Linked DNA regions of Neurospora crassa OR74A. The protein of the gene in region 1 interacts with the protein of each later gene in a pairwise test. Links are inferred from orthologs where the notes say so. Each region holds a gene or a part of one and is shown on either strand. Other genes may lie near its edges.

What was found. The genes of interacting proteins can lie anywhere in the genome.
Region 2: the proteins of naf-1 (region 1) and NCU08990 interact in a two-hybrid assay, tested with the Saccharomyces cerevisiae proteins (2 studies listed by BioGRID). The link is inferred for Neurospora crassa OR74A from reciprocal best matches to the Saccharomyces cerevisiae genes NAP1 and RPL39.

What each region holds. Positions count from the first base shown.
Region 1 is NC_026505.1:4,745,359-4,750,964, forward strand, and holds naf-1 (nucleosome assembly protein), read right to left. Parts: upstream 3,292-5,606; 5' UTR 3,018-3,291; coding exon 2,971-3,017; intron 2,894-2,970; coding exon 2,814-2,893; intron 2,736-2,813; coding exon 2,016-2,735; intron 1,959-2,015; coding exon 1,633-1,958; intron 1,568-1,632; coding exon 1,517-1,567; 3' UTR 813-1,516; downstream 1-812. Other genes in the region: NCU10143 (ATPase type 13A2), read left to right, coding at 5,391-5,549. UniProt on the Saccharomyces cerevisiae protein: Acidic protein, which assembles histones into an octamer (in vitro). Involved in the regulation of the localization and the function of the septins during mitosis. Involved in the function of B-type cyclins.
Region 2 is NC_026503.1:4,146,399-4,150,486, reverse strand, and holds NCU08990 (60S ribosomal protein L39), read right to left. Parts: upstream 2,942-4,088; 5' UTR 2,814-2,941; coding exon 2,808-2,813; intron 2,590-2,807; coding exon 2,489-2,589; intron 2,275-2,488; coding exon 2,226-2,274; 3' UTR 1,504-2,225; downstream 1-1,503. Other genes in the region: scon-3 (sulfur control-3 protein), read left to right, coding at 1-72, 154-419, 518-694; NCU08989 (ADP-ribosylation factor 1), read left to right, coding at 3,578-3,700, 3,771-4,088.

The DNA.
Region 1 (5,606 bases):
CGGGCCGTTTCTCTTTCGATGGAGAGGTGTGGACAGCCGGGTGGACTCCTGTTACCGGACCATTGTGTACCCCAAGGTGCCTCTACTGTGTGCGATCCTTGCCAGGTGGTGGGGTTTGCGCGGGTTTGGAGGGGACTGTTACAGCGCTGTACATAAAACGCGGGCGGCGGGTCGCCTTTGACTCATAACAACATAGGAACCCAAAACAACACTCACCTACTGGCTGGATCCGGTGGGTAGCTCAGGCAACCAAAAGAAAATCTTGACGATGACGAATTACGCCACTGGAATCATAGAATGAATAAGAGATCCGCTGTGAAGGCAAGCACTCAGTTGGCAGTGTATGTTGGTCGCTTGCTCAATTTGACAGCCCTTTGAATAACATAGAATCGGGCTGTATTGCTTAACGTAGAGTAAAAATGGAAATATGAGATGTGGCGTGTGTTCTTCCCATGCTATCCGTACTTCCCGTCTTCTTGCCCGGGCTCCTCTTTTTTTTCCACCTCAGGAGAAGAAGGACTCGCAAGAATCGAGCTGACTGTCCGCACAATGTATAGGAAACTGCCACAGCGACCTGACATGGCTTTGTTGTCCCCTTGACTTTGTCCGAGCCAGTATGTTTTCATGTAGACAGCTTTCACTCGATTCAGCGCAGATGGTCTCTTATTTCTCCTCGTGTCCCGAGCACTGAATAGTGTAACAACTTCCCGGGTTCCATTATTTAGTTTACTTCCAAGTCTCGAGGTACTTACTACCTACCTTCAAACTCGACCGGGAGCCGCCAAGCTTGCGTGTCAGTAGAGACATCGCCAACTAAATTTCCAGAAGCCCAGCTCCCATCCTTCAGGCCTTCCAGGCACGCACTGCCTCAGCTCGGCGACTCTTTCGTCCGTTGAGGTTTACTCTATCTACATCACGCGAGGCTAACAAGGGTCATGACGATTTACATCCATCTGAGAACTCCTTGGAGAAGTCATCCGCCCCTGGTGTCGTGGCCTAATGAACTTGACAGTCAGACAGTCTACATCGAGTCACGCTGTTGGATGACGGTTTGTGATGTAGAAACACCTGCAATGCTGTACTATGAAATCAACACCTAAATCCTCCTAGAATCACTGCTTTTGTCCCGTATAATATCATCCCTTTACGCACAAATCGACCCTTGTTCCGGTTTAGTTCGCATATCTGCTCCCATCCTTGCGCTCTGACGTGCCACTGCTTCAGGGGTCAGGACGAACTATCCTGCTAAGACTTATGAGAGACAACCACAGCGTCAAGGCAGGTGCTGAAGCCAACTCCTCATGTGACCAATTCAAATTCTGTAGAATGGTTATCGATCCACCACAAGCTCCGGCCATCCGCACACTCCTGTTCTTCCTGAGCCCACGGCCACCCCGGTGCGGTCATGCATGACCCTCAATAATTTGGAACTCAGACGCCAAATGTCATTGGGCGTTCTGCCCCTTGCCTGCGTGGTATAGTGGTATCATTTTCGTGTTCATTCAGCGATCAGCGTTTAGCTCTGCTTGCACTCAGCAGCCTCCTGCTTGGGCTTGCTGCCGTCCTCCTGTGAAATTTGTCAGCATACCTGCAGAGCATAGCATGTGTTGGGGAAAATTCAGAAAGTCTTACATCGTCTTCATCGCTCTCATCCTCGTCATCCTGGTCCTCGCTGGCATCTTCATCATCCTCATCATCCTCATCATCGAACTCGGCGTCCTCGAAGTCCTCCTCATCGAGCTCCTCAAAGGCGAGGGCCTCGCCAGTGAACCAGTCGATGGCGCGGGGAATAAGCTTCTCCTTGATATCCTCACCGAGCTGGTAGTCGAGCTCAAGACGCTCCTCAATATCGGAGGTGGTAGACTCGTCGTCATCAGTGGGGGCCTTAGGGGGGGAGAAGAAGTTGAAGAAAGACTCGGTAGGAACGGTCTTCTTGACGATGCGGGTCTGCTTGGTGGCTGTGCAATTTGTTAGTGAGCAAGTTTGAGAAAATTCAAGCTGGAACTGCAACTCACTCTTGTTGCGTTGCTTCTTCTGCTCAACGCGGACAGTAAGATCCTTGTCCTCCTTCCAGTTGATCTTGTCACCCTCGGCGTGATCGTAGATAAAGTCGCCACCATAGCCGCTCTCGTTCTGGTAGTAGTAGGTCTTGGTGATAGTCTTGTTGGTGAAGTACTCGTTCTCAGCGAACTCGAAGATGAGGCGGAATCCGGGCTTGTCAAGGTACTCCATGCGGATGTCGGTAAGGGACTTGAGGGCCTCCTCGTCGCGGTCGGTGATCATCTCGGCGAGGGAGATCTGGTTCTTCATGGCAGAGAGCCAGAACTCGGGGATACCAGAGACCTTCTCGGCAGACTCGGTAGCCTTCTCCTCCTGGGGGGCGGCCTCGGTCTCCTCATCCTCCTCCTCCTCATCCTCCTCACCGGCCTGGACCTGGTCCTCAGTGGGCTCAGTCTGGCCGTTGACAATGGCGGCACGCTGTTGGTAAAGAGGAGTGAACTTGGCAAAGTACTTCTTCTCGAGCTGGAGGACCTCCTCCTGGAACTCGGCCTCGAGCTTGGAGTGCTCCTTCTGAATGCCCTTCAGGCCAGCGACACGACGCTTGACATCGGTAGGGAGAGACTCAATGTAGCCGGACGAACGACCGACAAGAGAGCCGAGACGACCCTGGATAAGGGACACAAGTCTAGGGTCCTTGGCGAAGATGGAAGCGGCGGCGGCACGGTCAAGATCCTCTGCAACGAACAGTAAGTTTAGCGACAAGCCCAGAAAACTACCAAATAGTCTCAGCAGCAGCAAGAATCTTCACTCACCCTCCTTGATGCTGGCAACACCGGGCTGCTGAGCGTGCGACGAGATGGGGGCAGTGTTAAGAGGAGTGTTCTGGGGGGTGCTGAAGCGAAGGCTGGTCAGTAACGGTACGCGATACTCGGGATGGGCATCCCATCAAGTCTGGGGATGAAAACTCACGGAGCGATGGGGGGATCAGCCCGCTTGTTTCTGATGGGCTCGGCCATTGTGTCTGGTTCTGGTCAAGAGAAGGAAATGAGTTGGGATACAGAGAAGGAAGCGGTGGTAGAACCCTGCGACCGACGTACAGTGGATGTCGGAGGGAGAAATGGGAGAAGGAAGGGCAAATTTGGATTGAAGAAGCGGTCGGGTGTAGAGATTGATGAAGGGGCCCCGGTGCTGGTGGGAAAGGCAAAAAGTTCTGTGGTTGCCGGTCGGTCCAGGCAGAGAAGGCTTGTTGTGCAGCAGTGCAAGAAATGTTGAGCGAGGGTCGGGTCTGGAGGGGACCGGGAGGGGAGAAAAGCTATCAATGGGGTTGCTATGAAAATTTGCGGGGCACTGGCCAGTGCGGGCAGGACAGTCGGGTCGAGGGCACTGCAGCGGGAGGCGCCCCGTTGGACCACTCCATGATGCCTGCACTGCGCCGGCGACCACCCAGCCCCAGTCCGCTACTTCCATTTGCTGCCCATGAGTCTTGTCGCTTGCCCTACACCACCACCTAGAGGTATTTGACCTTCAATTCTATTCCAGCATAGGCAAGGTGCCCATTGTCATGGGTCACGTCTTTTTAGGGTCAAGCTCCTCCTGTCACTTGTTTGACTCTACACTCGGCCATTGCATGCCCGGTCTGCTCGTCTGAACTGAAAATCCCCTCAGGTACCTACGCCTAGCCAGATGAACCTAAACATGCCATTGTTGTTCTTATCGTACAAAGCCCGTTCATGTACATCGCATTCAGGTAGTGTATTTCCAGGTTGCCCGTCGCGCGTCGCTTCCTGGCACCACATGCTTCAGCATTTGGCTGGCGTGTCTTGCGTGCTAGCGTTCTCTCCAGGGATCCCGGCCAGAGACATGATGTAGGGTAAATGATATTGGTGACATGCCGGCTTCATATACACAAGTTACAAGGTACCTCATAGGTGCAAGATAGTTTAGAAGTTGCTTTTCGTCTGAACTGCGAGCTGCTAATATTGGACGGGTGTTTACATCTCGCCTTCTCACCGGCGTCGGGCTGCGGTGATTTGCTTCTAACGTTTAGGGTCTCTCAACTCAATTAGGCCTCCAGAGCCGGGCAGGTTTTGGAAGGCAAACTTGAAAATTCTGCTGATTCACTCTGTCCTCAGCAAGTCAAAACCTCATCAGCAGAGGCAACTTGACGCACACTTTTCTGCTTATGACTTCGATTATGAGTCGACGCTGGGTTCAGCGACCATCATCGGACCGATCTGAACCATCATGGCCGTAGACCGTCGTGGGCGTCCAACCTAAGTCCAGGTGAGATGCTGCAGTGACCCCAGTACACGACGTACGGGCACGTATGGAGCACGTTCTCTCACGTTGTGGTGTAGTGAGACCGCTCGCGGCATCTGCCAAGTGATCATCGCGATGCCCACGAATCTCCATCGCCAACTGAAGCCGACAAGGTTTGGGCCAGAATGACCCTTGTTGCACTGTGCTTATCGTAAAAATCGTGGATAGCGACCCCCATCTCCGCCATCGACCTTTCTGGCTAGAGGTATGTAAGTAGGCAAGCGTTAGCGGACATGCTTGGCATTCGATTGGCGGGCAGTGTTGAAAGAAAAATCCCATGCCTGTGACTGCCCCACTTGCTGACTGCCCGTTGGGACGGTCTGGCCCCGATCCTTCTCCGTGACTCCGGCGTCCAGGTCAACAAATGTGAAGAAGTCAGACAAGAGGATTCTAGCTGGAGTCCATCATTCCCATCTCCAGTCATCGTGCGGAAAGCCTGATCCACTCACTTGAATGTACAAGATGGTAAGGGAAGTATCGTGGAAGTTATCCATGCGATCGCAAGAAGCCCTACTGCATACAGTTGTCCTTCGCTTCCATATTTAGTATGAACCTTGATGTCTTGTTTTGTGTAACCATGTAGTCAAGCAAAGGATACCTATATGGGAAACTGTCCCTTAGGATTTCACATGTTATTGGTATTTGGTTGTTTCTTTCCTCGATGATCCATGGAAAGGGTTTGTCTTCGGCAAGCCAACATTGTTGGTTGATCGTGAGGGAGGTGTAAAGAGTGCCGGTTTGGCGTAAAAATGTCTGAAAGTCTGAAACGGCTCGATCAAGTCCGTTCCAGCGACCTTGTGTATCAATCGATACGTATGGTACTATGCAATTTGCGAGGCTTCGTATCAAGCGAAACAAAGCGACGTCATGTTCTTATCGGTATCACCTTCCCAAACAGATCTGCGCTTACAAGTTCGGACGACTGACTGGGTCGCGGCAAGAATCTCAAATTCTTACTTGGACATTCCCCAATTGCATATCCATATCGATGCGTACAAGTTACTTATTAAAAATCGTTTGAGCTCATACATAGGGTTAACTTCGGAACAACACCGACGGACAGCGCCAACATGAACGGCGGCAATGATGCCCACCACGCTAGCTGGCGGTCATCGCAGTCTTTTGACCGCCGGCGCGCCAGTCACGATCACCGTCCAGGCCTCTACACCTTGGGCTCGAACCAGAGCAATGCGAGCATCTTTGAGGATGTCGAGATGGCACACGACGAGGTACGCATTCTTCTCCCGTGTTCGTGGATCAGTGTGTGTTGTATCTGACATTTGCGG
Region 2 (4,088 bases), on another chromosome or scaffold:
TGGCGGAGAACGACGAACGTGCCCTCCAGAAGGTATCTCTCCAGAGCAACGATGGCCAAATCATCACCGTCGGTGAGTAGAATCACCCCGCCACCCGGCCTGTCTCCTTTTCTTTCCCTGCGACTGCAGCCGACTAACTGGCGTCAAACACAGATCGTGTTGTTGCCGAGCGATCCCTTCTCATCAAGAACCTGATTGAGGATTTGGGCGACGAGGCTGTTATGAACGAGGCTATTCCCCTACCAAACGTCAACGAGCCTGTCCTCCGAAAGGTTGTCGAGTGGTGCGAGCACCACCGCAAGGACCCGCCCCAGACTACCGAGGACGAGAACGACAGCCGTAAGAAGAGCACGGAGATCGACGAATGGGACCAGAAGTTCATGCAGGTTGACCAGGAGATGCTCTTCGAGATCATTCTCGTAGGTTTCTCCCTCGTTCTACCCGCCGATGCTACTTGATATGCAAACATCACTCGGGTTCTGCAGGGTCAGATCATGCTAACATATTCCTCATCCAGGCTGCCAACTACATGGACATCAAGCCCCTCCTTGATGTTGGATGCAAGACCGTTGCCAACATGATCAAGGGCAAGTCCCCTGAGGAGATTCGAAAGACGTTCAATATCACAAATGATTTCACTCCAGAGGAGGAGGAGCAGATTCGCCGCGAGAACGAATGGGCGGAAGACCGTTAGCCGATCAAGACCAGTTTCCACGTCAAGTCACTTTGCAACGCCGGGATCACCGTCTGCCAACGACAGAGGTTACCCCTGTGCTTCGTCTACCGGAACGCACACTTTAGCCGAGTTTGATGGATATGGGGAGAGCTGTTATGTTGGGAGATGGATATCAAACACATCTCGTGTTATCGACAGCATTTCGACGACGACGTGATACGGTTTGGGCATTCCTGGGAGGGCCACAAACGAAGCTCTTCCACTCAGTACGTTCGATCGTACCTTTGCGTTGGCAGGCGTTTAGAGGCGTTGTTCTCTAGCTTTTTTCTACGGCTCCTTGTTTTCTTAGGCTGAATCGAGGGTTTTCTTATGATGATACAGTTTGTGAATCAGGTCCTTACGTGTCTGAGAACGTCCTCACCGTAAAGGCCGACAACGTCGTCACGATTCTGTTCCGTGTTGTTGCCATGATGGCCCCCTTTACCACCAACATACTCTACATATTGGCACCTCGTATTCGCTTAATACGCCCATCATGTGAACTGTAGTCTAATGATAGCAACAACGACCCTCTGTTTCGTGGCAGCTATTCATGGTTCAAGGCGCGGAGTCACCAGGAAGAAATGGGCCTTAGAGTAGGGGAAAGAAAAGTCAGCCAACATCCACACTACCCTCCATTGTTCCATGCTAGAGCGCTCCCGGTAAAACAGGTAGGTACAGAAACCGCCCTTTTCACTGACAATTTGGCGTTTTGAACTCAACCATGGCCAGGCGCAAGGATGGCATGGAGTTGCCCATGCACACAAACAACATACTAATGGTCCAGATTGCAGAGAGACTAGGAGGGAGCTTACCCAAGTTGTATATCATGGCTCATTTTTACTCGCTTTATACAAGCCAAGGGTACAGAAGTCGTTGATGGAACGTAGGCGGGCTGATTTGGACATTGCCCACGTCTTTTGATCAAGCCCCCTCGGTGTCACAGACCTTGATATAATGCGCACACGACATGGTACATAGACCGATTTTGTAGCACAGTTCCGAGAACATGGGTAGAACAAATATGGGAATCAACTCTCGTGCACCACGTTTTCTCTCATTTCAGATCCTAATTCCCCCAGTAACCGTCCTTCTAAATGTTTGCCGTGAAAGCATAGTACTCCGAAAGTTTACGTTCCCCCAAAACAAGGATCGAGTTCCAGGATATTTCCCCCCGCCGAAAGAACACAGCTGAGAACCGACCGCCGCCGAGCCAGAACTTGGTTGTGATCACATCATCTTCCGGTATTTGCTTCCTGGTTGCCCTTGCCCGCTTCTCCTTCGTGCTTGCTGGTGATCGGTGACTTCGCCCTAGCAAAACAACTCCGTAGCGGGAGGTCGGGAAGATTTCGTTATCGGTTTAATTTCGTAGGACAAAGGCCGAGAGAAGAAGGTTGCCGTCATAGGTCGCATTCCCAAGCTCCAGTTTTCGAAAAATGGAGGTGGATCAGAGCAACCAGGAAAAGAAGACCATCGTTGGGGGTGGAATATGGAAGAATCGTGAGAGCATTTAGAGGCCGAGACGGGTCTTGCGCCAGTGGCGACGCTTGGCGTTGTAGCTAGTTGTCTCTTGTTAGCATCCAGCGTCATGATGAAGCAGTCGCCATGCGTTCTTGAGTGCAGAAAGCTCGCGAGAGGGCATGTTGCGCCGGGTACAGCCGAGGCAGCTGGTTTGTTTTCCAGCTTCCCTCACCACCATCCCCGTCACTATCCATCCCTCTCCCTCTCCTCTGGCTGAACGCGACAGCAATGGGCGCTTATGGTGATATGTACCGGATGGTGTTGCCAGTGCGGAGGCGAATCCACTGGGGGATAGGCCTGTTCTGCTTCTGGGCCTTAGCAAGCTTCTGCTTGACACGGAAGGTCTTGTGGCTCTGTTTTCGCGATGCACCTCGTCAGCATAACTTGTCTTGCCGTCGTTCGAGCAGGTGAAGTCATGGACCCCTCCTCCATGCTTCAATCAATCGCTCTGCGATCATCATTTTGGGAATTCCGTGTCGCTGCCGTTTCTGGCATAGCAGGACGGCCAAAAATTCGACAGCAGAGCGATTCCGAGCATTCTCTATGCTCAACATGGTGGGACGTTACGTACCGGCATTTTGACGGTGTTGTCGAGTTACCGGTCGATTTGGCTGGTGTCGATGAGGTGGGTTAGAATATTTGGTGTGGGCTTTCAAAAACCAAGCAGAACACTAGGGCCCGAAAGTGCGCATGTGGCTGAGTCACGTGTGTGTCTGTGGCTCGTACTTGTGGCACAGGCTCATTCACTCTTGGAGTCCGCTCTCTGACCGGACAGAAGGTCCATTTGGGTCCAGAAGGGAGGCGCACGAGCCACGAGAAGCGGCTATCGGAGGTTTCCACGGTGCCGTCTCGCTGCCAATCGATTGCCGGGATGTTTGCAGTTGGGCTGGGCGCTTGGGGCGGCCTTGCCTCCCGGGACCCCTGAGTGCCGGCACGATCAAAGGAGCTCTTTGGCGGCATTGAGCGACGGCCTCTCTATGACAACGAGAGGAGCATCTTGAAGCAACCTAACCCAAAACACTTTTTTTTTTCGCAATACCACGGCGCAACAAACCCTCGCTTATCCTGTCTTCAACCGTGCGCACGGGAGCATCCGAAAGATACCAGCTGGGCTGACCGCGCTTCCGTTCGCTGCCTCCTCGATAATACACTACTCGCCGTCATCATTTCCATCGACTAGTACGGCCCGATCCGACACGTTAGAGCCCGATCTGTATCAAGGAATCGCCTTGCCTGGTCAAATCCTCTCCTCATCCGTCTAATTATCAACTGCCTCAATCATCACACTCCTACGAACTCAACGCGCTCTCAGTCTTCCGGGGCACTAGCCAACACGCAAAGATGGGTCAGAGCATGTCATGGCTGTCTAGCCTGTCCAACCTCTTTTGGACAAAGAAGGAGATCCGCATTCTGATATTGGGCCTCGATAATGCCGGAAAGACAACACTACTATACAGGCTCAAGGTAGGCCCACCTGTTGAAAAGCTGACGAACGGAAGCGCGCACAGTTCGGAGAGCTGACAACATGTTGTAGATTGGCGAGGTAGTAACCACGATACCAACAATCGGTTTCAACGTCGAATCAGTCACATACAAGAATCTCAACTTCAATGTGTGGGATCTGGGTGGTCAGACTAGCATCCGCCCGTACTGGAGGTGCTACTATGCGAACACGGCGGCGGTAATATTCGTTGTTGACTCGACCGATATGGAGCGATTGCAAACCGCGGCGGATGAGTTGGCCGCTATGTTGAATGAGGAAGAGCTGAAGGACGCTGCCCTTTTGGTGTTTGCCAACAAGCAAGATCAGCCAGGTGCAAAGGGGGCGGCAGATATCTCTCAGGCTCTCCGC